Drosophila melanogaster: one gene and its partner. The protein of the gene in region 2 purifies or fractionates together with the protein of the main gene of each other region. This does not show direct contact. Each region holds a gene or a part of one and is shown on either strand. Other genes may lie near its edges.

The links.
Region 1: the proteins of CG13284 (region 2) and CG3306 purify together in Drosophila melanogaster (affinity purification with mass spectrometry, with the first as the bait; one large-scale study listed by BioGRID). This does not show direct contact.

Annotation. Positions count from the first base shown.
Region 1 is NT_037436.4:9,592,327-9,607,119, forward strand, and holds CG3306 (uncharacterized protein), read left to right. Parts: upstream 1-9,196; 5' UTR 9,197-9,269; coding exon 9,270-10,136; 3' UTR 10,137-10,222; downstream 10,223-14,793. Other genes in the region: CG42673 (uncharacterized protein), read left to right, coding at 8-130, 401-1,453; Tmc (transmembrane channel-like), read left to right, coding at 5,528-5,758, 11,516-11,652, 11,725-11,765, 12,086-12,376, 12,605-12,732, 13,001-13,105, 13,423-13,611, 13,690-13,820 and 2 more; CG3222 (uncharacterized protein), read left to right, coding at 6,747-7,886; CG3088 (uncharacterized protein), read right to left, coding at 8,221-8,979.
Region 2 is NT_033779.5:16,834,846-16,853,522, forward strand, and holds CG13284 (uncharacterized protein), read right to left. Parts: upstream 12,353-18,677; 5' UTR 12,126-12,352; coding exon 11,906-12,125; intron 9,957-11,905; coding exon 9,834-9,956; intron 9,775-9,833; coding exon 9,664-9,774; intron 9,117-9,663; coding exon 8,668-9,116; intron 8,550-8,667; coding exon 8,433-8,549; 3' UTR 7,502-8,432; downstream 1-7,501. Other genes in the region: Nepl9 (Neprilysin-like 9), read right to left, coding at 415-2,373; SclA (sarcolamban A), read left to right, coding at 4,382-4,468; SclB (sarcolamban B), read left to right, coding at 5,451-5,540; CG31810 (uncharacterized protein), read right to left, coding at 14,300-14,416, 14,550-14,995, 15,139-15,249, 15,313-15,435, 17,310-17,487.

The DNA of each region.
Region 1 (14,793 bases), on a different chromosome or scaffold from region 2:
CCTTTAGGCGCGCACCCAACAATTGCTGCAGCAGAACCGCGAGCTCCTGGAGCACCTGGCCTCTTTGGGGGCCTACAATGAGCAGCAGACAGCCGGACTCACGTCGGCCAACATCGGAATGGCGCCACAGGTGAGGATTATACCGATTACTATATATGCTATATAGGCTTTTGAGTTATGCGATCGTAAATTTGCGCTCATTTCGAGCCTTTTCAAGCTGTGCGGCATTTTTGCATGAGTTTTGTTTCTGTTTTTCTTGGCTGCCGTTTGTTTTTGCACGTGTGTTTATCAATAGTTGCCCCGTTTTTGTTGTGCGCTCTCGTTGTCGTTGTTGTTGATTGATTGAGAGAGAACTGCAGAACTTAATGTCCCTTGAACTTTCACCCTTTCCATCGTGTAGCAATCGCAGCTACAAATGCTGCTGCAGGCCACGAGCAACAACAACAATCTGGCCACGATCAACCAACAGATCAGCAATCTTGGCAGCATCAATCAGCAGTTGACCTCGCTGAGTCACCAGCTGAGTGGCCTGAATCAGCAGAGCCAGCACCTCCAGAATCTGCAGCAGCAGCAGCAACAACAGCAGCAGCAGCAGCAGCAACAAACGCAGGCGGCACCGACTGCGGCCACGCCCCCTCCCGCTGCGGGGGGCAGTAGTCCGTATCCGTCGATGAGTGCGCTGCAGAGCATCAGCAATCAGCTGCAGCAGCAGCAGCAACAACAGCAGCAGGACGCATTGTCCAAGGATCTGTTCCAGGTGAATCAGGAGCTGTTGAATCGCCTGCAGGCACTGAACTTGAATGCCAATCCTGGCCAGAGCCAGCCAACGCCCTCGGCCACGGCGCACAACTCCTTCTTCTATGTGAATCCCTTGTCCTGCACACCGGCCACGCCAAACAACAATGCTGGCGGAGCCGGAGGTTTCAATTTCCTAACCTCACCGGCAGCCACGGGAACACTGACCCCCTCACCGTTGGGCACCATGAATCGGAATTCCTTTGCCGGGAGTTCGTCCTTGAACGAGGATATACGCCTGAGCATCGAGCAGAATCTGAATAATCTGGAGGAGCAACTCAAGGCGGCGGTGTCCAATGGCAATCTGGCTGGACTGGCCTGTGGAGGATCGACCAGCACGCGGGATACCAGTCGTAGCTCCTCCACCCTGGACTCCCCATCCTCGCCACGTTTGAGGAGCAGCAATAACAACATTAGTCCTGGAAGCAGCAATGGCAACCAGAACCACAACAATAATAGCAATAGCAATAGTAGCAGCAGTCGGGAAACGCGATTCAATACGGTTTTGCTGAGGGTCACCGATGAGGCGGGTCACCAAAGAAAGCTATCGGCCACGCCCAGTTTCATCACACGCAGCACCAGCGAGAAGGTGCCCAATCGCAGCCAGATGATGAGCCAGGTGCAGAGGACCACCTGGGCCAGGCACACCACCAAATAGGAGCAGGGCTTCGAAACGCCCAGTGGACCAGGTCATAGGTTAAAGGATACGAAAAGTGGAAGTGGGCGTGCATGAGGAACGAGTGAATGAGTGGGTGCAACAGTATTAATTTAGGAGAAATGGAAGCCTACTTTAGTTTTGCATTTTAGGTGTCCTAGCAGAACGCATCGCTGGCGTTTAGTGTGCCAATTATTTGCCCAGCTCAACGTCCGTTTAAGTGTAATATATCTATGTAATGTATATCTATTTAGCAATATCTTCTAGCTCAAAACTGTGCCAAAGTCGAAAGTTTATAATACTCGAAAGTTTGGTTAGCTTCCGGGCCAGCAGCGATAAACCTTAAGTAAAAGTATTTGTGAAACATAATCTTAGCATATCAGCAACGAAGAAACTTACTCAAGTTCGCAATAATCGTTTGAAAGTATTTTCTCTCCCCTAAATGAAAAACTATATCTATACACCTAGTGATTAAGCTAATGAGTCTAGTCTAAACTGATTAAATTCGATACTGTTATTTTTGTAAATTGTTGTATTTTAATTCAATTCATGCGTGACCCGCATAATCTTTATTCGCAAAAATGCAATAATCATGGGGAATGCATTAATTAGTTGCCAGGCTGAAAAGTTATGTGTAAATTACAATTTCAAATATTCATTTGAATATGGAATATAGGCGGCAAAAATGAACGGCAAACAACCAGAAATAATAATAAAAATCGCATAATTATGTAAAAACCCTTGGCACTTGTTTCCAGTCGTTTATATGTATATTCATACTCTATATACTGTCGTTAATAATTGAAAGTTAACGCCAGACTGGGCAATTTCCCTAATGACTTTTCCGACACAAAAACATGCAGCACACTTTTAAGCGCATTAAGCATCCGCCCCGTGGGACGGTCAGTGTATGAATTTCCCTCCCTGGATAAATGAAAAACGATGCCGTGGCCCAAGGAACAGAAGCAAAAACAAGTGTCGCCATTTTTCACTCTACACTCGGCAGTTGGCATTCGTTGAGTTTCTTCCGAGTTTTTTTCTCTTTCCCAGTTGCCTACGGATTTCGCTGGTGGGCAGCAATTTGCGCACATAACTCATTTGCATAAATTTACACACTGACTTTAACGTATTTGCCCCACCACGCTTAACGCTACCACACCCACCGATTTTCCATTTCCCATTTCCCGCAGCTATCCTCAACGGCGAAAGTGGCCCGATGGTTCCAACAACTACCCTGGCACACCGCATCCTTGTCCCGTCCGGAGAGCGGCTTCGTTTCCGGCGATTCGCGTTCGGAGAAGTATCAGGAGGATCATTTCTACGGCGGCATCGCAAAGGAGACGGATGATTTATGCGATGAGTTCCTGCTGGTGGAGGGCAGCAGCACCATTTGGACAAAGCTGAGCGCCAAAAAGCGTCGTAAATTGCTCGGCATGCGGCTGGGCAAAGTGACAACGTTCTGAGGAGGTCCTTGTTCACATCATCGTCCTCGGATTCACGTAATGTGTGCGTTTATTAGCTGTTAAGTGAGTTTTTAGCATAGCCCTAAGTGTAGCTTTGATAAATTTCTGCATAGGCATAGCTAGCTAGTATGAAAACCAATAGACTAAAGGACCAAATTAACCCAAACGAAGCGAAACGAAACAAAACGGAACGTAACGGAACGACATGCTCATTGAGATGCCATGCAACAGGCATAGGACATAAGTCAATTAGTGAGCATAAAACGTAAGCTCAATGTGTATTTAAGTATTAACTGAATAGAAGTATTTGGGCCAGTAAGGAAACACGGTGAGAATCTTGTGGCCAATTCATTAGGCGAACAAGCCACGCACATTAATCATACGTCACGTAGCCAACCATACACACCTACTGCCAAAAGCCAAAAGAGCATTAACTTGACCAACTTTTCGTGTACGAGAAAAACTGGTTATTAAGCTAAGCAAACAAGGGCCAGTACCACAGCAGCAGATTCAACAGAAAAGGCGGTGAAAACGGGGAAAAACAGAATGCGCAGGAAGGAGCTTTTCCGGTGCACCCCGTACCAAAAAGATCAAATGTTTGATATTCATAAATTTCAGCCAGCTCCACCGTTTTTATGCATAAATCGATTCTACTTTTACGCTTGGCAGTCCCTTCCTTGCCCGTTTTTTTCCCGTTTTTTATTTGGGTAACTCTATAAATTTAAGTCAGCTGCTGAGGGAAAATGCAAACCGAACTTGCGGCATACGCGGCGTATAAGCAATTTACTCAAAATTTATGAGGATTTGTTGGCTATAAAAAGCGGGGTTCGTAGGGTAGCTAGACACATACTACTTAGGTGGGTAGCTGCAAAGGTGTTGTACTGATTGCACTTCACCCTTGATGGGTTAAGTTAGGGATAGTATAGCCAGTTAGGGATAGTTGAATATGCAGAGATATCTGCGAAACACTGACAATCATGGGGGTGAACGAAATTCTGCAATTTAAATTTGAGTGAAGCTAAAGCCGGCCAAATGGTTTTCAATCATCATCAAACTCGGTCGAGTTTTTATTGCATTATTTGGTAGCTCTTTCGTTTATTGCGCGGCATTACAATGAAAACTCGATTTTCCTAACGGTTTTATGACATTTTCGCAATTTAGGTACGAAATTTATAAATGTCAGAACAAAAACACAAATTAATTTACGTAAAATGGTTTTAGTTAATTTATGCAAAACGATTTTTGAGACTGAAACTGAAATTTGTACTAAGCATAAAAACAGGACACAGAAACACACGAACACTTCACACATCACACATACTCGTACATCCATTCATGCATTTCGCAAACAATTGCGACAAATAGGAAAAGTTTTTATAAGCTACTTTAGCCTAGCCTTTAACCAAGTTGAATAAATATAAGTTGCTCTGGTTCAACGCAATAGAATAAAGTGAAAATAATAAAAATTAAATGCAACATGCTGGGCAACATGTCCTTATTCAGGTCCTGCCACTTCCAATGCCGCCGCTGCTGCTGACACTTTACAGTTCAATTAATTTAACGCGCTTTGCATGTAATAGAAAGGCATTGCATATCAGCGGGGCCAGCAGACAAGGATGTGCCAGGACATGGCGCCGGAGGAGCCCAGTTCGCAGCAGGAGGGCTTGGCTCGTATGGAACGGCTGTGCCGACTAACAAGCGCATTCTGGCCAAGTGGCCGGGGCGCGGAGGAGATATCATCTACGCAAACTAGCATGGGCTCGACTTGGCAATACCCCCCACTGGGATAAACATATATTCCCAGCTTTCGTAGGTATTTATGGTTAGTTGTACTTCGAAGAGAACAGTCGTTGGTAATGTCAAGTCATTCATTGCTGGGAATTGATGAAGCTTAAGATAATATCAAGATTAAAAATAATAAATGTATAAATAAAATAGCAATTAAACTTTTTATTGAGTAGGAAAAAGACTCATCCTACCAATTACGGAGTAACACAATTAGAAAACAAAGTGAAGGCACCTTTTGTGCGCTCATAATTAAGGACACTAAGGACACAACGCAGCGCACTAATGGAAGGCGCAAAAATGTATGAAAATGAAAAGTGAAAGTATAAGTCAAAATGAAAAATGGCCTTTTTTTCCCCGCTCACATGGCGAATGCGACATGCGATATTTTGTGTTTTCGGGGCCGAGCTGTTGACACTTTTTGGGGCAGCGGCAGACATAATTACACAGAGGTAGGCCGCGATGTGACCCTGAAAGCAGGAAGTTCACTTTGTGTCATGTGACAGCCAGGAGAAGCAGTTGAAAGTGCCGCGTGTCCTGTCCAACGTCATCGTCATCCTGTGGCCAAACTAGCAGGACTCGCTGGACTCGCTGGAGTCAGAGAAACGGACACCGCACACTCACATGGCACATTCATTGTCACTTATCGCGTGGGTGGCGCGTTTAATTCACATTTTATTTCCAGCGCCCGTGGCTGCGCGCGTAATTGTTGCTTCAAAGTCCTGGCCAGGACACGGATGTAGTCAGTCCGCGTTGGCGCTGCACGGCGGTCGTGTGTGCGCGGTGAATAATCGCGATTCGCAACGTGAGTGTGCGCTCCTTTTTGGCCATGCAGAACGACGAGGAACCAGCAGCTGCAGCCGGAACTTCGGGGCTAAGCAATGGAGAATCCTTGCGGAGTCCACCGGCCCCGGCTCCACGACGACCCAAGCCAGGTATCCTGCGACTGGACATCGGCAAACCGCGACGCTCATCAGGTGGTTCCGTCGATTTCCGATGCGTGGGCAGCAGCAGCAGCAATGGGAACACCAGCAACGTGGCCACTGGCGCCAACAGTGAGGTAAGTGAGCATGATTTACGGCCCATTCGGGAGTGCTTACGATTTGGCCTGACCAACAACGACGACACGGTCTACGGAATGGCTATATCCGAGAGCGGACCAGGAGGATAGGTGGGAACAGCAAGTGCCGCTGCCACAGCCAATAGCCATAAACACCAATCGCACTTAACTGGCTTTCGCTTCTGGCCGGGTTAAGCAATGCAGCTCGACCCGGTTGGCTGTTAAAATCATTTTGTTTTACAACCATCGGTGGACAGGTGGAGCTATTCTTAGGTCAATGCAGAAGTTTCGCTTGACAGGCTTAGTAAAACTTAGAACTTAGAATTTTTCGAGCATTGGTTTTGAGGCTCTTAAAAATGAATTTTCAATTTAACTGCATTAAAAATTCTGTACATTTGCATAATTTAAGTACTGTCTCTCTTTTGCTTAACCAAGCCTCGACTCTTATCTCCTCTAAGTTGTAAACATTGCTAATGAACTGAACGCATATCATGTGTGGTTTTCCTGGTCTAACTTTAAAGCTCATTAGTATAATTTGGCAAACTCACTCTACATATGCATGCAAAATCTCAGATCACCGGAGGTCTCTACTTTATGGTAGTTAATAAACAAGTTAAATCACTTGGCTACTTAGGCAGCAGGTAGCACAGCAAATAGCACAGCCAACTTCACATTGCCACACAAGGGTATCCCAGTGTTCATTAGGCCAGACATGCGACATTGGCCAAAACCGAGTGGATGCGGATGGGCACACCCTGGACTCGGGGCTCGGTCAGTGGAGGAAGCGGGAAATTGGGGATGGGATCGGTCGAGTGGGGCAAACATTTATTTAGTCATAAAGCTGATGCGTAATCTCAACAAGCCAGGCCATTCCAAGTGGGTCAGAAGTTTGTCAGTTCGCACGTTCGAGTTGGTTTGGTTGCTTCGACTACACACACAAAATTCGTCCCCACACCCCAAACACAGAGAAACAAAAAAAGTTGAGAAAATGTCGCAGCTGAACGCGGAGACCCAGCAGAGGCACTTCATCACGCGCAGCAGTTATGAGGGCGCCTGGGATAGATTGGTGAATGTGATGGACGGATTTGGAAGCTACCGCTATCCGGATGGGAGCGAGTATCGAGGAAGGTTCCATCAGGGTCAGTTCCATGGCTATGGCCATTTGCGACTCGCCCAGCCGTACCGCTTTACGGTTAAGGGTGAGTTCGAGCATGGTCGCCTGGTGACAGTGGAGGACATGTGGTTTTCCGACGGTCTGCATGTGGATGGCAGATTTAATGGCATGGTCTTGCAGTGCGATGAATGGGATTACCTGACGCCCAAGGATCGGCGTTATCATGCCGAGCGTCGTTATGGCCAACAGCCGGTTGGCCCCACTGCCTTTCTTACATCGAAAATGCAACCCAGAAATATTCCCGAACATTGCTATGATGTGGAGGAGGGTCTGTTCAATAGTAAGACCTGCTGGTTGACGGACCGTCCGAGTCCGCTCCATCAATTCATGTACGTGAGCTGCCCGCAAGATAAGGATTGGATTAAGAAGAATTGCAGGAAGGCGAGAACATCGCGTATAATTGAGCCACCATCCGACTTCTGTCGCCGCATTATAGCCAACAATTTGGCAACGGAACGAGCACAGTTGCGAAGCACGGCCATATATGCACCCAATGGACAAGTGGATCGGGAGCGATACTTCCACAAGTTGACCAAAAAACGTGGACAGCCGAATGAGCCGCTGGAGAACATTCCAAGGCGTCCCATGCCCGTCGACGATCCCGCCTGGGAGACGGAGATGTGTGTGCGTGCCTATGCTGGGATGTTGGATAAACAGCAGAAGGATCAAATGGAGTTCAAGCGCGTGCATCCTTGCGCCAAAATGGAGACGGTGAAGAGACCACGCCGATGGTCGAGCACCTCAGATGTACGCAATCCGCAGTCGGGTGGACCCTCCAGCTGCCAGACGGACAGCTTTGGCGAGGATGAACTGGTCCTAAACTTTGAGGAATCATACCGCTCGGCCAACAACATGATGAGGAAACGGACGGCGGATAACATAAATGTGGTGCAATCTAATCTAATACGCCGCAATAGCTACATGGACATGACCCGGTCCATATTCGAGTTGTAGATCCGCCGATCAATGTCTTTATATATGTTTTTTTCAATTTAAAATTTAAGCTTAAGAGCTCGGAGAGAAAATGAATGCAATTACTTTGTAATCTGAAAAATAAAATTCAACGTTTTTAAAGTTTCTTAGAATACTCGTAGTATTTGTTAATAGTTTAATGGTCAGTAGGATCATATTCATTTTAAGTATATTTTGCATTAGTATTCAGTACAACCCACCGGACTTTGCTGTATATTAGCCAATTTTTTTTTAAAGTAGAAAAGACCTTATAAGCAATAAAATATCTATGCAGGTATTGGACATTTTTTATTAAATGTTGCTACTATTTGACCCATTAGTAGGCGATTCCAGTCCTTTGATGGATCCAATCCAGTGCGCTGGTGATCCTAGCAAATCCAGCGGGCAATCCCAAGGTGCACCCGTTGGAGGCCACAAATGCGGAAATGCCCACCACGGTGGAATCCTGTTTGGTGATCAGGGGGCTGCCGGCATCGCCAAAGCAAGTGGATCTGCCGCTGGGCGTACGGGTGCACAGGATCTGATCGGAGACGGTGGTGGATCCGTAGAAGGCGATACACTCGTTATTGGACATTATCTGAAGGTCGACGCATTGCAGCGCATCGGTGAGTCCATTGCTGAAGGTGGTCACTCCCCATCCACAGACATTTGCCCACCAGTTCTCGTAGCGCTGGGATCGATTTCTCAGTGATGGAAGGGCCACCCGGTTGACCCGGTTGCTGAATCCGACTCGAGGAACTCGAACCAGGGCGAGATGTTGATTACCCGTAACGTACTCACTAGTTCCCACTGTCACCGTAAACTGGGCCTGACTCAGCCGGGTGGCTCCAAAGTAGATGGTCACTCCGGAACTGCCCGTTAGACACTGAGCGGATGTAAGGATCCAGGTGTCGCCTATAATAGTGCCACTGCACCAGATGTTGCTCTGTCCAAAGGCCATGCCCACCACATAGGGTGCCTGACCTTCATAAGCGGGGCTTCCATTGGTTATAATGTGATCAGGATCCTCGGAATCCTTCTTAGCACTTCCTGCTGCGACGAGAGTGAGACCCAAGAAAACTACCAATAGCTTCATGATTTCAAGCGAAGGTTGTTACTGCCTAGTTAAACTGACGAGTTTATATAGATATTCACTGGGTAATTAGCGAACATTAGTGAAATTTCTTTGATTATCTTGAGGGGCGTTACTCATTTAAGTTATAATTATTTAAGTAAATTGCCATTAGTGGCATCATATTAGTTCGGCAAAACTTGTTATCTCAAATAATATATAGTAAATTATTTGAACACCCATTTCAACGAACATTTACTCAACTTTAAAATTGTTATTTTTGGTATACAGTGTAAATAAGCTTTCTAAAAATCATGGAGCAGAAGACAACAAAATCTTCAAGCATTACCCAGGTTGATATTCTGTTGACTGGATCCAGATACGTTGGTCCCAGTGATGAGTTGGGCATGCAGGAGATGGGTGTCTACATTTATCCGGATGGGACATGCTACACGGGAGAGTTTCTCAACAATCGTTTCCACGGAAAAGGCACCATACAAATTCCTGATTCCTTGGGCGTTACCTATCAAGTAACCCATCACAATGGCAGACTGGTCTCGATCGATCAGGTTAACTTCAATGATAGTCTGCCCGTCGACTTTGAGATGAAGGATCATTACACGATGAGTTTCAAACCCTGGACGTATTGCACGCCGGAGGATCGCCGATTCTACCAGGAAACCAAGGAGCCTATGGATGCCGTCGGTCCGAATAAGTTCCAGTCCAAGGACGGACCAAATCCGCTCAACCTGGGTCGCAATATTTTCGATCTGGGCTTCGGACTGCTGGGCAATCGTGGCTTCATGTTGGATACAAAGACGTTTAGCAACCAGAGTATATATCTAGGATGTCGGGAGGCTCGTCGCTGGATCCGAGAGAACTGTGCCCATGGACCACTCAGCAAGCGTCACCACAAACAGAAGTTATTGGCCCGTTTTGCCCGTGAGATCATCCGGAACAATCAGGAGAATGCAGGCTGCAGCCAAAGGGAGTTCATGACCAAAATCCATCCTTGTAAGCACTCCACCAGCTTGGATAGCTTCGCTTCGGAGCGTCTCCATCTGGCCAGCACTACGGATTCCACGACGTCGGAGGCTCAGGCCATGGGTTTGCGTCATGAGGAGTTCCATGGCAATTGGACAAGAGCGAAGAGCGAGAGCAGCGTGTGTCGCATCAACTGATTGATCCTTTGAATTTTTTGTTACTTTCGCTTCTACTTTTCGATGTGGCCTTAAATTAATATATTGTAAATCGTTGGTTGACCCACATTCTGTGACCAACGCCTCCATGTTAGGAGCTCTAGATTTATGGCCAAGTCGCGAAAACTGCAGGCGAACATGGAAATCCACTTAGGCCTAAAGGTGTGTGCTTTCCTTTTCTTTTTCTTTTTTACTAGGTCATCGGGTCCATGGCGGCATTGAACCTTTGGCTCAAATGTTACCTTAAACCTGGAAAATTGTAAACATTTAGGCCTAGGCCACCGGCACAGCGGGTAATGAACCCATAATCGCCGAACATTATTGCTACACGTGCACGGGGGCGTAAAGATAAATTTGATGTTAATTAAAGCCGGCCGAGAAATCCATTTAATTAAAAGGAACGAAAGTGAAATCAGAGAAAGTGAAAGGCAAAACACAGAGAACACAGTGGAGAGCGCCAAAACATATATTTCAATAGTGGGCGCTCCCCCAGAAAAGCACACAAGCTAACACACACACACCGGAAAATGGGGGAAACAGGCAAGAGGATAAAGTCCGGGAAAAACCTAGAATTTCGCGATTTTCTTTATCAACCCTTGCATGTTTGATTTTCATTTACATGGCCGGGCCAAGAATACAAGGTGACTCAATATCACATACACACAAGCGCCATCTAAATGGACATTCGAAGTCCTGGCTGGTTACGCCCGGATACGGCGTTGTTATCACATGCCGTTGGCAATTTTTACACTCATTCGTCTTCGTTCCAACAGGGCGAGGAAGTCAGCCACTCGGACCCGGACTCCCGATCCCCTTCAGCCACCTAGTCGCAATGTCCTGCCGCATGTCCATGTAAATTCCTTTAGAGTGTGTGCGCTTGTGTGGGTTTTGGGCACGTTTTGGCTTTGATAAGTTGCCCATCGTGCGGGGCGGGGCGGGGGGTGTTGGTGGTTCGTTCTTCATTCATATTCATTCATTATTAGAAAAATTTAAGTTTCACCTGTCTGTGTGAGGTGCCTTCGTGGTCGCCGTCCCTTTGGATGATGGTCATTTTGTGCCTTGGTAGCCCTGCCAGCCAGCTAAGCCGTTCAGTCTGCGCACAAGGCTGCTCCAAAGCGCTTCGGCTTATAACTGGCTAAATCGGGAGCAAAAAGTGCTAGCTTGTCCATTAAAGGGATTTTCTTTGAGGGCACTAGAAGAGATGTAACACATAAATTGCACAGCAGTGAAATTAATAAATAAGCACTTAACAGCGAAGGTCATTCCGCACGCAAAGAGTACCAGTGTGATTTGAGTAATTAGCTGTCCCGGAACAGCACTTGAAAATTAGTTGAGTTAAGCTGCTGCCCATCCATTCGTAGAACAACTCGGGAGTCACATCGCCTCATCAACTCTCTGTGACCTGGGCACCGCCATGCGACTTGGATAGAGGTGGCTGGCAAATGCAGAGCAGCGCCGATGCCAAGAGGGAATTCTACAAAGGACAGCGAGGCAGGAGGTGAGTCCTTTAAAGGGATACCTTGGACCATCACTATCTCGGTCTCTGCGTTTCTATTAACTTCCTTTAAAGAGCTGCGTCACAGGAGGACCACAGATCCTACGAACTGAACGGTGCGTAACGTATATCTGGTTAAATATATATAATAGCTAGCAAACCAAACTATAGTTTTTTATTAGTTGTTATATACGCTTGTTTAGGTATTTTATTTAAACATTTAATATTTAATAAGTTAAATATCTTTATTTGTTTCTAGCATTATTGATTCTATAAATTACCAACAATTTTTTTTTTTAATATTTTGCATTAAATTTTGTTATCTAAATAAAAGCATTTAAACATTTTGGTTAGCAGTTTTAATGCAGAGTAATCTTTTCTGTCTGTGTTTAATATAAAGTAACCAACTAATGACCAAACACCACTGCCACTCCAGATTTCCCATTGCAAAACCAGAGCAGCGACGCCGAGAGTTGCCACCAGGAGCCTCACTTTGCCCACCAGCGTTCGCCTGGAATCGGATTCGACGAGGATGGCGGCGGTGGCGACATTGACGATGAGGAGAGCTACACAATTTCCGTATCGGCAATAATGCAGAGACGTGCCAGTGTGCGCGGCTATCGGGGCAAACGCGGCAGCCGGAGTTCGCGACGTGCATCCAGTCCCATGGATCACGTTCTGGACAGTGTGGAGCGACGACGCTCCAGTGTCTATACGACAAGTTCAGGCAAGTCTGTGGTCCGTGGCCCATAAGTGTCCAGAGCAGATTTCGTTTAGTTAACGAGCGGACTGCTCCCCGGTCCTTCTCGGTCATCCTCAAGTGGCAAGCTAATCAACGTCTGGGGGCCTGTTTTCTGTAATTTTTCATGCTACGTGCGGACCGTTTTGATGGCGTGGCATACGGGGCGTATGTGTAATCTGTTTGCCTTGCTTTGACTTTCGTTTTACTTTGCAGAGGAGGGCACCAATCAGGAGTCAACGCAAGAGCAAATCTTTGAGAACATCCGCCTGCACAAGGAGGTCATACAGTCGGTGAAGCTACAGCCATGGCCCATCCGCAAGAAGCTCAAGTTGGTGCGGCAGGTGGGTATCCATGGTTTTCAGATGGGAGTGGAATTGAATGGGGGATTTGCCCAAAAACTGGGCGCGTTCGTTTTCACGCCGCTTGTCAGGTCGTTGAAAATGTTACGACCGCCTATCCTTCCTTCCTTGCAAACCTCACCGAACACTCATCAAATGCTGAGCCAAACTTTTCGATTTCATTCTTTATCTCCCATCTTTCGCTACACCCTGGAATTTTTAATGATGTTTGGACTTTGCGGATCCTGCGGCTCCTTGTATGTGTTGACAGGCCAAAACATATGTGGCACGCCACGAGGGCGCGCTCCAGGAGCGCTTCGCCATGTCACGCAGCACCAGAGACTTGTGGGCGAGGTTTAAAATTTTAATGGCGGCAGTAAGTGATTTTGTAACCCCCTTCTTTATTATTATTTTTTTTTTTTTTGGAGGAAACGCCTGCAGAATGCGAAATGCAACGAGCACAAGGCGAAAGGCCCCCAAGCCATGCAAAAAAATATTAATGTTTACACAATTTATGGGCCACTTTCCGGTCGGGACGGACATTCAATAAATCCCCACTGTTCGCATAGTTCACCGAGCTATGTGAGCCCCATGGCATTCTCGCTGTGCTGGGAGACCAATTAAAATGCGAACTTGCCGACTGCCATTCCTTTCTAGAAATAAATCCTTTCTTGCATCCGACATTTTCTGCAGCGATGGCGACACTGGAAACGTGAGACGGCCAGCTTCCTTACCGTCCTCATTCCCTGGGAGCTGCGCATCAAGGAAATCGAATCACACTTCGGCTCCGGCGTAGCCTCCTACTTTACATTCCTGCGATGGCTTATGTGGGTCAATATCATGATTGCCATTCCGCTGGTCGCCTTCGTCATTGGCCCCGAGGTGAGTGTCCTCAGAAGTAGCCAATTCGTTTGCCACACACTTTACACACAATTATGTTTCCGCTTGGCTTTGTTCCAGTACTTTGCCACAAAGCACGGCGAAACGGATCCCAGGAAAAGGATGTCCGACCCGGAGGCTCGGGTGGCCGGCAATCTTTTCACGTTCTGGGAGTTCGAGGGATACCTGAAATATTCACCTATGTTTTATGGGTAAGCCAGACTGGTTTTTTGTTGGACAAGGGCTAAGCTTCCCTTTCAAGTCAGTCTGTTTAAAAATAAATCAATAATAATTCCTTTAATTCATTTGCCTTTTTAACATAACATAACTTTGGAAGAAAATTATGTTCTTATGTAAATATTTATTTGTTCATCTTAATTATAAATTAGTTATGAGAGCTCTATTAATTGCTGGCAATATCCCAATATCATCCCTCCTCTTGTTTTCCTATCCCCCAGATACTATTCAAGCACATCCGGCATTAGCACGTCCGGATATAAGCTTCCCTTAGCCTATTTCCTTACCGCCGTTCTGGTCTACATCTACAGCTTTGTGGCCACGTTGAGGAAGTGAGTATGGTGGGAGCACAAAGAAATAGGGGTCAAGGGGTCATGGGTATGGATATGGTTCCCAGTGTGTTGGGTAGGCACTTCATTAAATACTTGGTCATCGAAGCCGCAAAAAGTAAACTAAATGTCAGACTGCTCGTTAATTAATTAAACAAAACTAAAGCTCTGATTAAATAATACAAATCTTGGCCACGAGGCGTGTCTGGGGGTCTGAAAAAGTTTCGACGCCTCAAAATAATCAAAGGAGAAAGCATTGGCCATTATGATTTACGCACGCACACAACAGAGCACGTGCCTCGAAGGGGGCTGGCAGTGAGGGGCGGGACAGGAAACGGAAACGGCAAAACGCCATTTTGAGCATTGGGCGTCTGACACGCTTTAATGGCTTTGTCGGCATTATGTTGATTTCGTAATTGAACAAAGCAGCAATGTCAACAGTGAGCAGCCGGCACTGGCCTTTCCATATAGCCACTTTTGCGGGTCACGTGCTCAACGTGCGTGGATTAATTCAATCGCAATGCTATACGGGATTCAAATTGTGGGAATTGCGGGTATTTCAGAACAAATTATGACTGAATTTCCACTTTTGATCCATCGACAGAATGGCGGAAAACTC
Region 2 (18,677 bases):
ATTTTCCTCACGAAAAATCCACTCGGAACCGACTCTTAATATATATATAATATTGATGATACATACATATGTGCATGCCAATTTGCTGCTATATGGAATGTCAAACAAAAATCGTATAAATGGCTAGATGGAAAGACATTTCCCGCCTGTGTCTTTAAATGACCGACATGTGGGCCATATTGTCAAATTCATTAAAATATGAATAGCTAATCTTCATATGTAAAAACTATAAACTATAAAACTTGTGGGCGGTTGAGTTTGTTTAAATCATTTTTTAATAGGCAACTTTTATAGTGAATGTTGATAACAAGTATATTTCCAATGACTAGGTAAATATAACAATACATTTTATTTTTTATCTCTAACATATCTTCATTAAAATGATTTTAAATTAAAATTTTAAAGTTGAAAACATCAAGTATGTGGCCTTTCACACATGTTGATCATGCATCTGGATGGGGGATTCATGGCCTTTTCGGCTCCGCACTTGAAAGCCTCCTGGAACTCGGGAAGATTCATATAGCCCCTATTCAATTGGGCAGCAAATATCTCCGTTTGGCGGTTACATAACTGCTGGGCCACCGCATAGAAGAGTACCCTGTGTGGATTCAATCCGAAGTAGTCCAGCACAAAGGTCTCGGCAAAGGCGAACCTTTCACCCTGAAGCCAAAAGTGATAGTCCGTGAGGGAATACTGAAAAGAGCGATAAAACTGGAAGATCTCGGCGATCTCGTGCGAACCAAGTGGTCTGTAAATTGGAGCCAATTTTGCATCGTAGTGTTGGAATGATTGCCGTTCTAGGCAATCCATGGCGGTATAGTGGCCATCGGTATCCAAGAGAAGTCGGGACTCCCTCCAAAGTTCCAAGCCGTGTGTGGCATAATAGTGATAAGTAGGGCGGTGCAAGGAAAGCAGTACAAAGTGAAGGAAGTGCCTCAAGAAATATGCTGGCTGATTTACATCTTCCTCGTCCACATAAGGCGATACGAAACTATGGCGCAGTTGAGCCCGTCTAAGGATCAGAAGATTTGCATAAAAGGAGTTCTTTTCCAATTTCAATCCTTCGTAGTTTTCATTTAGTTCAGTTATATTCAGATAGTTTTCTGCATGATTTTGGAGGATGCGTGCCACCTGAAGCTCCTTCTTCTCCACAGAAGCTGGCCACAGGTGCCCATACCAATCTCTTCTGGACAACTTGGATCTCCTTAGTTTTTGGAAGCGAGTGGTATGAAGTTGATATGATGCCAGAGCGACTTCCCTGCTCAGATGGCGTCTCAAAACATGCCATTGCCAGTATTCAGCGTGCAGTAGTCTCTCGAATTCCTCAGATACCCTATAGCAGTCCGGATATCGAAGCTGCTCCCTGGCCTGCCACATCACATAGTTGTACACTATGCGAGTTTCCGTATGTCTGAGAACTTCCCAGGCTTGAGTGATCTTCTCGACATCGAGAGGAAACTTGCGTGCTCCCACCAGCCGTTCCTCGGAGAAGTTAAGTGCGGCAAAATACTGCTGAAAATAATCCATGGTGTTTTCATCCAGAAGAAGCTGTTCTTCACCTGGTCTGGAGGTGTTGGTTCTGGTATTCTGGCTCAAACTTCTTACGAGCGGAAGTTCTCCTCTCATTTCGCGACACAGAACCCTCATCTCATGTGATATTATACGGGATACTTGATGATGTCTACCTTCCAAGACATCAGACAGGCTAGATTGAAAGTCCGCGATACTAGGACAGGGCAGCTCCTCCATGGGACTCACATAAATCGTATCCAAGGCAAAGTAGATATGAAGTAAAGTGGGTAGGCCATGGGCTGCCAGTTGTGCTGACAGAACTATCCAATTCAGCTGCCCATAAAGGCGCCTTCGCTCCCATTGATGTTTAAGGAAAGGCCAGGAAGAGAGCACCTCTTTATGCCTGGCCAGGAATGGGATCTCATCGAGCATACGTTCCCAGTGAGAAGTCAATCGAGTAGGGGTGAAAACATTTCGTTCTTCCCTCTTTCGGCATTCCGTATAAAGTTGAGAAATCAATCGTCCTGGTATAGTTTCAAAATTTCCAACCTCAGCTGTGAAGAAGTTCATTCTGTCCTGTTTGTTATACAGATAGGGTGGAAGAAAATCATCGGAATTTTCCTCCTTCGTTTGATCGAAGTTTCCACAAGCATGTGCATAGAAGTCATCACACGGATCCATTGAGTCATTCTTAATTTTCACCAACTGTTGCAAGTTGCTCTTGTACAAATGGCTAAAAAACTGGCCCGATTCTACCTCGGAATCCATTTCCACTTCCGTATCTGAATCCGAATCTTCTCCATTCTGGGACCTCACTATTTGAATTATAGCGAATAAAACAAACTGAAGCTTCCAGCGCATTTAGTTTATATTTTATTGTGATCCGCTCGTTTGTTTTGTTCCACAAAAACTGCGCAAAATTGTGCTCGGAATTCCTCCCTAATGACTTGATAAGCCACGGAAGCAGTGGATTAAGCTATATATTCTCGATTCTATCAAAGTTCCCAGTTCTCTTTGCGCTCTTTATTGGAACTCGCCTTGAACTTAAAGATCTTTGCATTCCGTTTTGCCCTACATCGCCTATTAATGAAGTTATGTCATAATGATTAAGCTTTATACATGCATGTAAAAACGGATTTAACAAGTTAAAGTATATGAATTTTAAATAAAAACCCATATGAGTGTAGTGTGCTTGGAAAAATATTTGAAAAACTTATCCCAAAAATTACCCATTAGTGCTTAAAAAATATCGCGCATACGCAATGTGGCCACAGCTGCAATAGCTCAAGCAACAAACCTGATTCTATCAGGTCGATTTTTATTGTTTCTTTTGATTTCATGAATGTGCTATGCAGAGGAATAAAAATTCATTGATTTTTTTATAATTATCTTGGTCATTATTTATATATATTCTTGTGTCAAGCCATTTTGTTTTTATGCCATTTGCGCATTGCATTTTCAAATTGACTTAATGACAAGTGTCAGCTTAGGGAAAGTGTGTGTTTTTTTTTAGAAAAGTCAAGGACCCGAAATGTGTGACAGTTGTTTATGAACATTTTGGCTGGTATTTATATGTCAACAGACGATATGATTGGAGAAGTAAAGGAGGTGTGGCGTTGAAGAAAACTCTTTGTGATTTCGCTAAGAAGGTATTACGTAGAAAGGATTAAGTTGAATTCTATTCATATATTTGAAAGAAAATATATATTAACAACATAAACATCCCGTGCTATTTCGAAATCAAGCGAAAAAACTTGTAGATCCCATGCCCAATTCGAACCTCATGTTTTGAGTTCCTTTGCACTTGCGGAAATTCCAAAATGCTGTCAATAATTTCGAGGCAAATGTTTTGCAAAATGGAACAAGCCATATACTAGATGCCAAAATTATTTTTAATGAGCGTATTGTTATTGTTGGTAATTTGGCTTCAGATCCGGCCAACGGCTGCTCAAAAACTGTCAAAAGGCGCGCAGCAAATTTATTTTATTTATTTTCGATGTTATTTCTACGCGACTTTCCAAAAAGTCTGCACTTTCTGCTCTGGTAGTGGCGTCTCATTTTGGCCAATGGGACAAAATATTTCGCTATATGTACATACATATATCCAAAAGCACAAATACACGCCCACCAATCTATATCCATTTGTCAGATATGCTCAAACTGCGTGTGTATGGATGCTTGCAGAACACTAAGTATTTCATCTATATCCCAATTCGTGGACGGGCCAACGGTTTTAGTTGAGCCAAAGGCTTTCACCAGTTAATAGCACAAAATTGTGTCTTTCCCCAGCGAACAAAAAAACCAAGGTAAATCCGGTAGAGAAGTGAAGTGACCTGAAGACCCCAGACGAATGATAAAAAATTGTGGGAGTTAACAATTCGAATTCAAGTGTGCCGTGTTCATAAATATTTCCACACCAGAGATCTTTTCCATTTTTTTTTTTCGTTTGGAACTGGTCCAATCTATAAAACTGGAATTATTTCAATCTATATAGACATGCGGTTCTTTGACTGCTCTATCAGAAAATCAAAGAGCACAGAAATATCAAATAGATATAGCCAGACGACGACGAAAGCAAAGAAAAATTTAATATTTTCCATATGGCTTTGATATCTGTCGACTTTATATAAAATTTTTTTTTACTTATACCATTGAATTTTATTTGATTAGATTATTTTAAAACAAAACAATATGTGTTCCGCGAAAATTTATTGCCGCCTTTTTTATGTTTATATGAAGATAAACTTCTCACGCGCCAAATAAAAAATATTTCGTATATAAGTAATTCGAAAATAGGGAAAACTATTTAAATCTTTCCGTTCTAACCGAATAATAAATAAATATTTTATTTGCAGCAAATTCAATCAAGATGAGCGAAGCCCGCAACTTGTTCACCACCTTTGGCATCCTGGCCATCCTGCTTTTCTTCCTCTACCTCATCTATGCCGTATTGTAAAATGTTTCCGGCAAGTAGATGGTCCTTAGGGCAGGACCAAAGGTAAGATAAAGATTTAGCTTATAAATACAATAATATGGGAAAAATCTAAATCTAAAATCGTAGTAAAAGTAAAATTTGTTTCAATGCACACAATTTCGATTGGGTAAATGGGGTACCCATTGAATTTAATCGAGATAAATCCGCATCAATCACGAACCTTGAAATGGTAATTGAGGCCAAAATGTGCCATAAACTCAATGAGGACTACGTGATTATTCAAGATTCTTTCAATATTTAAAAACGTTTTAAGGCTTGGCTAGATGTACACGTTTTCAGCCTAAAGTAAATAAATATGTTAATCAAACACACGACTGGAGAGGAAAACATCTTTCCCAACGAAAAAACCAAAAAAGAAATAAACAAAACATTTTTCAAATGACAAGGTCCAGTCGGAATAAGCAATTTGTCTAGGTGCAGTCCAGCAGATGAATAATGTTCAAAGAACACAGAAAGTTGGCTAGAATCGCATGGAATTCGAAATCATATATATATATTTCTAATATGCAGACCGATCTACATACTCGTACACACATATGTAGATATACAGATCTAGAAAATATTTGTGCCGCGTCAAAAATATTACCAACAACTGGACTCACATACAACCAAATAGCCGGTGATATACACGGTATACATATATAAATATAAATGAATTTTTTATATATCGTCTATCTAATCGGATCAACATATGTATGTGGATGGGTGCGTGCGCCCAGGCAATGGCCATAATTCCAAGCGCTGGCCAACTTTTTGTGGAGAAGTAGAATTCAGATCGGGAAATTCAGTTATTGCGCGCCTTTAGCTACGAACGGTTGGAAATCCTCCAAGCAATTAAGAAAACCCAATCCCACAAGTGTGTGATTTGCGCCTGTCGATCGATCAATCGCATACCTAATTCCGTATTATCCCTTTAGCCAGCAGCCAAATCGAATCAATCAAAATGAATGAGGCAAAAAGTTTGTTCACCACCTTCCTCATCCTGGCCTTCCTGCTGTTCCTGCTCTATGCCTTCTACGAAGCCGCCTTCTAGGCCCACAGCCTCAAGTCACCCATGACCATCACCAACCACCACCCACCAACCACCCATCAGGATAGCTTACATGTTGAATTTCAATTCCAAGCCGCCGGCCATGCCATCATCTTGTGGTCCGGTGGAGCTTCTAGGACCCTACGCGTTTAAGATGTTTAGCATTTAATGGATTTCTACTAGTAACCTAAGCCAGGTGAGCACGAACACCACCCCATCCACCCCCTGCCAATTAAATCAATTATCAAACACACACATCAAACAAATTAACGAAACACTCCCTCAACACTCCCTACCCAAGAAGAAAAAAAAAACATAAACCTTGAATACATTTTTTGGCAGCCATTTGGCTCGCTCGCGTTAATAAATAGATTTTCCGTTTCTATTTTTTAACGACAAGATTTCGACATGGCCCACTAAACACCTTCCTGTCGTCACAGCCCCCCGTCATTTGGGAGCATTAAAAATCATTTTCATATGGCATTTTCCAAATGTCGCAACTTTGTGATTCAAGATTATTTTCGCCCGAAAAATCACAAAAATGTTCAAAGCGACAGTTTTTTATGGCCTGAATTTATGATTGGCTAAGGTGGAAATTATAATTAATTTTCATTAAATGTTTTTGAATATCACAAGCGCTGCTAATAAATATTCGAGTATAGATTGCTATTTTCAAAAAAAAAAAATCCGATGCTGCTTTTTCGCAATCCCTCCATAAGTTATTTCAAAGAACCTAAAATAAATCTCTAAGAAGCTTATGTTCTTCGAAACAAACAAATGCCAGCTATTGTTTATGCCAATGTGGCCACTAGAACCAACAAAAAAAAAAACGAAAATAATACGTTTTATCAATTGCAGCGACTTTGCGTCAGACAAAAATGATTCTTCTTTTGCAATCAATAAATCGAACAGTGCTATTAAATAAATTTCTCAAATAAATTCTCATCTAATGCATATTGCAGATGACGTCAATGCCACCAGTTGCCAAAATCGAAGGCTCGGCGATCAGGATGAGCACTTTGATGGGTAACCCCTGCCATGTGGTAAGTACCATTTATTCGGATCCCCTGGGATGCGCTTCAATATACATATTTATACGTTTGTTTTTTTTCCCAGTGCTCTGCCACATTTCATTCATCTTTGAGGCGCTGCAGGATCGATTTATTTTGAAAACTGTGCTGCCGGCCTTGGCGTCATCTGCTCTAATCATAAATATAGTTTTGTGATCTTTTTTTATTATTTTTGTTCGGCAATGGAATCTACTTAGTTTGCAATTCATAGACCATGATGTACAGTATAAGCAAATTAAGAACAACATCAGCAATCAATGTGCACCACCGATATTATTTCATTGTTAAACAGCCACGTTTATTTCGCACTCGTACATATTAAGACATGCATAATGTGTAACTGCATTTTACTCGACTTTTCTTAAATAACTTGTGAATAACAACCGCAAAGAACAGCAACAACAAACTGCAGGAATAAAAACACAAAAAACCAAACTATTTATTTCCTTTTTATTTTGTGTTTGAAACTAGATGGTACGTGTAATATTAAAAAAATCAATTGAGTGATATTTAAATTATGTATTTTACATAAGTTCATACAAATGTAGATTGACTTTTTGGGTAGATTTGAGGACTATTATTATTTCAGGCATACTTTTAGGCTTGTTCCAAACTTAAATCGGTAAAAATACTATTTTAAGTATTGCTGTGTTTTTTCATAAAAAACTACAAAGTACGCAAATATTTTTGGAATTTAAGCCAAAAAGCAGAAGGTAAGTGTTTAAAAAAGACATATGAAAACGGTATTTATAAAATTTTAAAAAATACAATGACATTTCTCCAAGACTATTTTGTGTAACTGATTGTTTTGAAACGGATTAAAGAGTTTTATTTAAAGAACATTTTTCTTCAAGTTTATAATTAACTAATAACAACGAAAACTCAATTTATTTTAGTGGACCCAATTAAAACTTCTGCCGACAGAAAGGTGTAATTTAACTTGCATAGTCTAAGTTTCCATTCAAAATTTAAATTCATGTATTTGTGTGCAGTTCTTCGAGAGATCTTAAAAGTACTTTATCTTTATTTGCATGTGGCATATGCATGTGCAAATTGAGGCCTTTAACAACTGGACAACAAGTTAAAAAAACAAACAAAACATAAATGAACGGTATAGTCGACTTTGAAATACCTGTTACTCAGCTAGAGAACTTGTTTCGAAATGTTTTGGGCATATCTTTAGACATTTTCAATGCAAATAATAATATTACAAAAAACACTTTTCATAAGTGTAGACGTCACAGTTTTGGGTGGCCCGTGGGCGTGGCAATCCTCTGAAGCAAAGGCACTACATGGTTGTTCTTAACTTTTAAGGTTTTATAGTTTACAGTGTTTATACGGACGGGCAGACGAACATGACTAGATCAACTGCTACTATCTGTTAAAAAACGAATCTAGTACACCCTTTTTTTCTACGAGTAACGGCTATACAGTCTATAATACAAGCTAAAAGTGCGAGCAATGATGCGGATACCCAGTCATCGCTGGTCTTCTGGCGGCTTCCGACTGCAGTTGGCCACTTTGCCATTTTGTCGGTCAGTAGTTTCGCGCGCTGGCCAACCGGTTTCACGGCTAAAACCGTCCGAAAGCCAACCCCCTCCACTCCTTGGCCAAATTGCAGCTCTTATGCAATCCGGCAGTGCATTTTGGGAATTGATTTAGCCAGCCGGTTTTGCGAATGTGCCTTTTATCTTTTGTTTTATCTGTTGTTTTATATTTTGTATTTTTTCATGGCTTTGTGTGTTTTTTTTTTTTTCTAGTTAATAGTTTAAGCCTTATGACTAAGAACCAAATATTTACATGACTCCTAACCTAGCTTAACAACCTAAGTAAGCTTCAGTTTCTTTTGCTTTTGCTCGAGGGCCTCGATTCTCAGTCGTTTGAACAGTTGGTGTCCCAAGTATGTGCGGATCGGCAGGGGAGCCAATTTCATAATGGCATACTGTAAAATAAAAGATTTTAATTAATAAGGTAAGATTTTAAGGCGTTAAGAAACTTTAAATCAGGGAATTAAGTGGTATTGCATCTTGAAAAAAATCCCTAATCGCCAAATTACTAACCTGAATGCCATGGGTCCAGAAACCGTTGGTCTCGCTCGTTTTTCCCAGTGTAAATACGGCGGACCGGGCAAAAGTGTATGCGTTCGGGAAAAACAGACCTCCCTGCATTACCCGATCGGTGTAGGCATTCATTTTGGTCACCACAAAGTTGGGCATCACCAGCTGCACGTGGATATTGTGCTCCGCCACCTCCAGTTCCAGGGCCTTGGAGAAGTAGGTGACAAACTTCTTGCTCGCAGCATAGACGGTCATGTTGGGCAGTGGCTGGAGCTCAGAGGAGGATCCCAGATTGACAATGGCGCCCTTTCGGCGACCAATCATCTGGGGCAGGATCTTGCGGGTGAGCATGGTAACCGATCCCATGTTGACGGTAAGAAGGTTCCAAAGAAGATCCTCTGAGACCAGGTCCAGACTCTCGGGGTGCTCATACATCATGCCCACGTTGTTGACTATATGAATAAATTAATAATAATTCGTATTACAACCATAACGGTTCAAGCAAGGCAATAATGGCAACACCATATTTATAACAGCTCATATCAAATGGCAGTGGCTTTAAATTACGCTGGCCAAGATCCAATGTCAACTCTTATCAGCCAAACATTTTATTAATGCCGCCTTGAGAAGTTCGCAAGGTTGTCGAAATGTAAATTGCTGAAGCGTTTATGAGTCTCGTTGGCCGAATAAAAGTAAAACCCCCAACAACAGCGCTTCGCCATCGTACTTGAACATCGCCTAAGCCACTCTTCGCCTCGCCAATAGACCAAAAAAAAAAAGAGTCATTATAATTGCACGCAATTATCATTGTTTGACATTGGCAGCCGCGCAAGAAAAATAGTCACAAAATATAAAGCGTAAGTAAGCAGCTGCTGCTGTTGACAATGATGAATGTGTGAATGATACAATATCGTATAATAAAAACGCTAATATCTGTAGTAAGTGCCAAATGTTGTTAATGTTTGATTTGAATATAAATATCGAATCATAATTATTTACCCAAAATGCCAACGTCTATGCCCGCCAGTTCCTTTTCGATCTGATCGTACACCTCACGTCCCTTGGCGAAATCCGCTGCAATCCACTTGGTCTTCACTTTGTACTGGCTCTCTGCGAAATAAAAAAAACGTGTTCTAAATATATAAAACCAAGTACTAAGCAACACTTACCAATCTCATTGGTAACCGCAATGAGCTTCTCCTTCGTCCGCGAGATGAGCACCAGGTTGATACCCTGGCGAGCCAGCTCCCTGGCGTACTCCTTGCCAATGCCATCGGTGGCTCCAGTCACCACTAAGTGAAAGGAATCGAAGGAAAACGTGATGAGTACAGGCACAGGTTGCCGAAAGGGAACCACATTTTTTCAATTTTGCATGCAGACAAAAAAACACGAAATATTGAAGACTACACTATACAACAAGCTTTAGAATTTGTTACGAAAATGTATGTATAGTAGTTTCGTTGTTATTGAGTATTAAGTATTATTTGTGTAAGTGTAGATTAGGTTTATATTTAATATATAATTATTAATTATTAAAGTTATTAGAGTCTATAAGTTTTGGCTTTCCAAAGCTAGCTGCATTTTTATGGTATTATGGTATAATAATTTAGTATGAGGACTTGAATCCATGTTAAACTAAACTATTTACTTTCCAAGACCCATTTCGTCACTTTTTGTTGTGTACCTATAGTTTTAGCAACTGAATAATGCCACGACCTCCTTGAAAGACCTTTTCGAAACTAGCATTTGCCTGCTAATTAGCCCACTGCATTCGGCTGAGCCTCTTTAAATCACATCGCCACATCGGTTGTTGGTTGTCGAAACGTCAGCAAATATCATGAATGGAATCGGCCGCAAAGAAGCGATTAGAAGCAAACCGGCTAGAGTGGCAATTGCTGCAATGTTGCCACAGGCAGCTGGTTTATTGGTTGCCAAATATTTGTGCAACGGAAACGTGAAACACGGCAGCAAAACTTGGCAATCGATTGTTGCGCTTGCGTGTTGCCCGAAAATTATGACTGCTATAGTTTGGCAAAGATTTTGCACTTTGATTGGTGGGCAATAAAAGCAGTTGTATAAAATCCATAATTCAATTTGGAAAATTGTAACGATCTCACACCTAAGGTCACCCATTAATTAAGCAATAAACTCAAGAAGCGATAGTTAAATTTATAACTGTTTGACTACGAAGAGCAGCACGAGACTCTAGTCAATGGAATCGAATTAATTAGTTAATAAAGCAAAAACAAAGCGATCGCAATGTGCGAAACAAGCGAGAAAATCGCAAGCCGGTTTACGAGTTGAATGACTTTGTCTGGTCCATAAATGAAATTGTAAACAAATCAAGTTGTTTGAATAATTTAGTTATTGGATGCCAAATTATAATGAATCAGCAGACAATTTGAAAATAAATTATATTTATTTTATTTTATTTAGGGATTTGTGGAATAAGTTAAACCTTTTTTAATTCATAATATTGAACTTAACAATTGAACATAAATTGTATTGGATAATTTAGCAAGAATATCTTTTATAGTCTGATATTATTTTTTATGATTCACAAATATGTGAATTCATTTAATATCTAAGCTTAACTAAAAATAACCATCAGCAATACGCTCAATAACACTCAGATAAGAAATACAATTTTGTTCATTTCGGTGGTATAAATAATAATGGAAATTCATAATTGTAACCGGTTTCTTATCTTATCATAAATGGATTTTGTAACCGCTTTTCCCAAACCTGATAACTTTAGATTCTATCGCTCAACGATTTATTTGATCATAAACTTGGTAATGTAGTACATGATTAACGTATAAATCAATAATTTAATTTAGAACACAAAATTCATGTGCTTCAACGCTCAAATTTATAAGGCTAACATGTAAAGAAAGTCAATATACTCTCATTAAAGCCTAATTTATTTTGTGAAATTATTCGAATTTATAGAATTATTAGGCAAATCGTGATATATAACTATTATGGGGACCTGAGATAGCTGATGTCATTCAATTCTGAGAAAAGCTGGATATGCTGCCTGCATATAGCAAAAACACTCCTTAAGAAAATAGGTAAACAATTTGCATTTGCGACAGTGAATCAACCGAAAACGCATACCTTAAATATTGACAGACCCCTGAGGTTAAAGTATGCAAATACGGGATTGAATAACATGGAAACATTCGGTGAATAAAGCGAAACTCATGGATATAATGGGCCTTGCGATCGAAACACTCACCTGCCCACTGTCCGAACTTATCCACCAATGTCCTTGGCAAGTGGGGCTGGAAGTAGGGTTCCAGGACGGCCTTGATTATGCTGACCAATGACTTCAGGTTGTCGTACAGAAACACACCGATGGTGAGCAGTCCTACGAGGTAGATGGCCGCCGAGATCAGCTGCCAAATGAACGCCATCTTCAGCAGGGTGTAAATGCTCACTTCCAGAACTGGCTGCATGGTTAAGAGAGTGCTCTTTAAATACTCCAAATAGGCCGATTTTCGGTTGATATTGTGGAACTTGTTCTTATCACTAACACGACCGGGCTGATTATTTATTGCTCCGTAGAGAATTACTATTGTACCGACATGCGTATAATCGCCCGACTCTCGCACTATCGCGCTGTCTGTCTGCCACTTTTTTCCGGGGGCACAAGTTGCAGGTTTGAGCGCCGATCACGCACTGAAAACTTGGAGTCGCGACTTCGCTTTTTCGGCCTTTCGGTTTCGGATTTTCAGTTTCGGATCTGGTCTTCAACAAGCAACAGTTGTAAAATGAATGAATATCAGCGACTTAAAGCGGAAAGGCCACTGCAGTTGGGGCTCTTTTCCGCGGTTTTTACTCAGCTCTTTGTCGGTTGATTATTTCATAAAATTGTAAACTTCATTTTGTTGCCTTTTACTGCGGCCTGTAGGTGTTGAAAATCTACGTGTCTGGGTGCCGGGTGAATTATTTGACTCTTAATTGCCGCTAAAGAAATGACCCTCTTACCATCTCGAATTACTCGGTATTTTCACTAGCCAGTCGGTCAGTTGTCGTAGTTTTGAAATTTTTGCTAAGTGCATAATCGGCTTACTAGTGGTGTAGAACTAATTGCAAACAATTAGGCGAAAGATGCGTTAAATTGTCTTTTGTCATGCAATGACCCCTGTCATCTGAGACAGTTTATTTGTACAGATATTCATCTACCTGTTTTTCCTTTTGCATGTGGCTAAATACTCTAGGAGTGATTTAGTTTTGGAAAAATAATTACTGCATTAAAATATGACAAGCTTACTATGAAACTTACTCTTTCTTTTACTTACATATTTTTTAATTTATACATGATAATTACATATTCAACACAGCTCCAAAACGTTGTTATCTATTGTATTTAATTTATCTGTTTCCCTAACAAATACATTTTATGGCTTCTGGATTTTTCACAGATAATTGCATGAAGTTGTTTTTACATGCTCTGTCTTTATTTAATAAGACTGTATAATGCATTTTCCTTCACTATCTTTTACAACACCATAAGTTGCGCTTATCAGCATGGCAAAAAGCATTTCCCTACAAGCGAGAAAAAAAACGTATTAGTGCACTTTTGTGACACAACAAAAAAAAAAAAAAAAATAACATTGCAACAAAGTATTAAACGCGACTTCTTTCGCAAAGTATTCAAAATAATGGTAATCGATGGTAATTTGGGCAAATGTCTAACTAATGCATGTAGCAATTAAGTAAACTTTGGATGATGATAGTATTACAGGTAAATGACAATAGGAAATGTCCCAAAAACCACTAATGGGTGAAAAACTAATGAGAATTCTGAATTGTGATTAATGGCGTTTTATTCAAAAGTCTAATCATTTTTTTTATGGCATGCTAAATCAAATTTTTATTGCCATCTATATCATAATATTACGTGTGTCAGTGAAAAGGTCATTCTGGTCATCGCCCAAAAAAATTCAATTTCCACTTGTTGCTCAATTGTAAATGCCGAAATACTTTCATTAGATAAATAAACAGCCCTTTTACTTAATTTAAAGCAAGGTTCCACTATCCGAGTAAAAAAGCATTTATTTGGAAACGATTTTTGAACTTACATGCTGTCAGCGAACAAAACAGTACGAGTTTTCAAACGCTATAAATATAAATCGATATTGTATGAGTGAAGGGCTATTAGTAACCTCCTGCCAAGCCGAATATTTATTTCAGACTGACGGGAAAAGTTCAAAGAGGAAGTCCACAAGCTTTTCCCAAACGTTCTAAATAGTAAATAGTGTTGTCGTAATAGCCGTTTTTAAGCTAAATTGGGTTTTATCATGCTACGTCTTCTGTGCCCACAATTCCTAAATAACACATGCAATTATTTTACTTACAACTTGTTCTAAATTATCGAAAGTTTTTAACGGTATAAAACCCCACAAAAATAGAAAGTTTATTAAGCCAATATTTAAACTTGAAAATTTGTGACTTAGCAAAGTCACGAACCAATACCAACCAATACATGAACCCGTCAATAAGTGTAATATATTTTATTTTCAGCATAACATATTCTCAAAAATTTAAAATATTATTTCCACTGTTAAAAACTGCCGTAAACTCTAAGGTATTTATTTTGCCAAATATTTACATGGCTGCTAGGAACCTAAGAAAGTTTTTGGTTTTTCAGTCTGTGCTCCATGGCCTCGATTCTCATTCGTTTAAAGAGTTGGTATCCGAAGTAAGTACGAATATCCATGGGAGCCAACTTCATGAAGGCGTACTGTAATTAAAGAAGGTACATTTATTAAATAGAATTTACTCGTATGGTTAGTTTACCCCTTAGATAAATTATCTGGGGAACTATTATTTTTAGTATATTAAATTGGATTTATTACAGCTGTAAGACTACGCACCTGTAATCCATGAACCCAGAAACCGTTGGTCTCGCTCGTCTTTCCCAGTGTAAAGACTGCGGACCGGGCATAGGAATAAGCGTTGGGGAAAAGCAGTCCTCCTTGCCTCACTTTATCGGAATAGGAATTCATATTGGTGGCCACAAAGGCTGGCATAACCAACTGCACATGGATATTGTGTTCGGCCACCTCATATTCTAAACCTTTAGTAAAATGGGTAACGAACTTCTTGGTAGCCGCATAAGCAGTCAAATTGGGATGGGGCTGGAGTTCGGAGGAGGATCCGAGGTTAACAATTGCTCCCTTTCGACGACTAATCATCTGGGGCAGGATCTTGCGGGTGAGCATGGTAACCGATCCCACGTTGACGGTGAGAAGGTCCCACAACATGTCCTCCGATACCTTGTCAAGGCTTTCCGGGTCGTGAATCGTGCCCACATTGTTGACTGTTAAAATGAAAGGCATTTAATTTTTTTAACAATCAAATAATCGTATCTTCGTAAGCAGTAAACTATAAACTATATGTTAATGACCAGTATATTTGTTATATATATTAATCATGTATTTCTATGCCAATTCACATATTTACCCAAAATTCCAACTTCGATTCCATTCAGTTCCTTTTCGATATGAGCGTACACCTCGCGTCCCTTTGCAAAGTCCGCAACAATCCACTTGATTTTCACATTATATTGGCTCCCTAAATAATCGTTTCGAAATGGAATAAAACACTTTTATCTTTTAGTTGAATAACATTGCCTACCAATCTCGTTGGTGACTGCAATCAGCTTTTCCTCTTTCCGCGAAACGAGCACCAGGTTAAGACCCTGACGAGCCAACTCCCTGGCATATTCCTTTCCGATTCCATCGGTCGCACCGGTCACCACTTAAATTAGATAAATAAATTTAGTTTTTGTTAGATTTTAGATTTATTACATAGATTTATATATTATATATATATTAATATATTTAAATCTCCACAACCTGAAACGGATTAAATATTTTATAGTGCTATATTATCGCTATTGGAAACCAGAAAAGCCCCAATCGATAGATAAATTTAATGAAAACTACTACTCATGCTGACAATTCAAATTGTGATCTAGAGTCACAATGATTGAGATATTTTTAATCTGTTCTAATAAGGTCAAAAAGCCGAGTCCGTAATTAATTTTGATCCATTTTCTAGTTCTTTTCTTTAGTACCGTCACACTTTCATCGTGTGCCTCGTCACAAAGTGGACGTCAACCGCGGTTATCAGTTGGAAATCGGAAAATATCGAAAGATAAGTAAGTTCATGCTGACAACGGTAGTTTAAACAGAAAGTCAGAATGATTAGCACATTGGTTTCTTATCGAAAAATATATTTAAGGCAATAAATTTCCTTCACTGGTTGGTTAAACAACTATCATATTACAAATTTTCAAAAATACTGTCCAATCTTTTTAAGACTAAAAAGTCCATAAGTTATAATTTATTTTATAATAAGAAAATATTTTTCTATTTATTTTTCAACTATTATGACTGCTATAGTTTGGCAAAGATTTTGCACTTTGTGATTGGTGAGCAATAAAAGCAGTTGTATAAAATCCATAATTCAATTTGGTAAATTGTAGCGATCTCACACCTAAGGTCACCCATTAATTAAGCAATAAACTCAAGAAGCGATAGTTAAATTTATAACTGTTTGACCACGAAGAGCAGCACGAGACTCTAGTCAATGAAAGCGAATTAATTAGTTAATAAAGCAAAAACAAAGCGATCGCAATGTGCGAAACAAACGAGAAAATCGCAAGCCGGTTTACGAGTTGAATGACTTTGTCTGGTCCATAAATGAAATTGTAAACAAATCAAGTTGTTTGAATAATTTAGTTATTGGATGCCAAATTATAATGAATCAGCAGACAATTTGAAAATAAATTATATTTATTTTATTTTATTTAGGGATTTGTGGAATAAGTTAAACCTTTTTTAATTCATAATATTGAACTTAACAATTGAACATAAATTGTATTGGATAATTTAGCAAGAATATCTTTTATAGTCTGATATTATTTTTTATGATTCACAAATATGTGAATTCATTTAATATCTAAGCTTAACTAAAAATAACCATCAGCAATACGCTCAATAACACTCAGATAAGAAATACAATTTTGTTCATTTCGTTGGTATAAATAATAATGGAAATTCATAATTGTAACGGGTTTCTTATCTTATCATAAATGGATTTTGTAACCGCTTTTCCCAAACCCGGTAACTATAGATTCTATCGCTCAACAATTAATTTGATCATAAACTTGGTAATGTAGTACATGAGGTGAAATTAACGTATAAATCGATAATTTAATTTATCATAAAAAAATATATATGCTCAAATTATTATTACTCAAATTTATTATGCTAACATGTAAAGAAAGTCAATATACTCTCATTAAAGCCTAATTTATATTGAAATTATTGGCATTTAAAGAATTATCAGGCAAATCGTGATATATAGCTATTATGGGGACCTGAGATAGCTGTTGTCATTCAATTCTGAGAAAAGCTGGATGCTGCCTGGATATAGCAAAAACACTCCTTAAGAAATAAGGTAAACAATTTGCATTCGCGACAGTGAATCAACCGAAAACACATGCCTCAAATATTGACAGACCCCTGGGGTTAAAGTATGCAAATACCGGATTGAATAACATGGAAACATTCGGTGAATAAAGCGAAACTCATGGATATAATGGGCCTTGCGATCGAAACACTCACCTGCCCAATTTCCGAATTTCTCCGCCAAAGTCTTTGGCAAATTCGGCCTGAAGAACGGTTCCACAACAGACTTGATAATGCTGAACAAGGACTTTAAGTTTTCGTAGAGATAAGCGACGATGCTAAGAGAACCCACTATGTAGATTCCTGTAGAAATCACTTGCAAAATAAGAGCCATGTTTCACTTAATATAATTTCTTCTTTTAAGAACTGACTGCGTGCCGAAAAGAGTTCTCTTTATATAGGAACGAATAAGCGAACTTTTGACTGGGTGATAAGAGCGTACTCAAGAGATTGTGTACACGGCCATGACTAAACTGGCTTTAAATGATAAGGCCAGTGCAGTTGGAAGGCGATATTTATTTCTCTTATTACCACAAAATGCAGTCTGTCTCTTTAACAATTAACTATTTTCTTTATTAAATTAAAAAAAAAAAATTTATTTAAAATCATATGTGAATAGAATAGTAATAAGTACATCGAATAGTAATAGAATAGAAATAAGTACATAAGTACATCGAAGTCTATATGTTTTTTGTTCCCATAGTACAATAAAAGTCTAATTTTGCAACACAGTGTAATATAAATTGCAAACTTTTTAGCGAAGCTTCAAACCAGTTGTCGGCTCAAAAACCCGCCAAAAGGTGTGCTATATTTTGTTGTCTAAGTATATGTTTAAATTTTAATTTTATTTATTTTTTTATAATGGGATTTGAAGCAAATTTTGTCAATTGAGACAGTTTATTTGTACAGATAGTCCTCTACCTGTTTTTCCTTTTGCATTTAGCTAAATACTCTAGGAGTGATTTTGGAAAAATAATTACTGCGCTAAAATATGACAAGCTTGCTATGAAACTTATTTTTTTTTACTTACATATTTTTTAATTTATAAATGATAATTGCATATTCAACACAGCTCTAATACGTTGTTATCTATTTAATTTATCTGTTTCAAGAACAAATACATTTTATGGCTTCTAGATTTTTCACAGATAATTGCATGAAGTTGTTTTTACATGCTCTGCCTTTATTTAATAAAACTGTATAATGCATTTTCCTTCACTATCTTTTACAACACCATAAGTTGCGCTTATCAGCATGGCAAAAAGCATTTCCCTACAAGCAAGCAAAAAAACAGTGTGACACAACAAAAACATAACATTTATTTGGAAACGATTTTTGAACTTACATGCTGTCAGCGAACAAAACAGTACGAGTTTTCAAACGCTATAAATATAAATCGATATTGTATGAGTGGAAGGGCTATTAGTAACCTCCTGCCAAGCCGAATATTTATTTCAGACTGACGGGAAAAGTTCAAAGAGGAAGTCCACAAGCTTTTCTCAAACGTTCTAAATAGTAAATAGT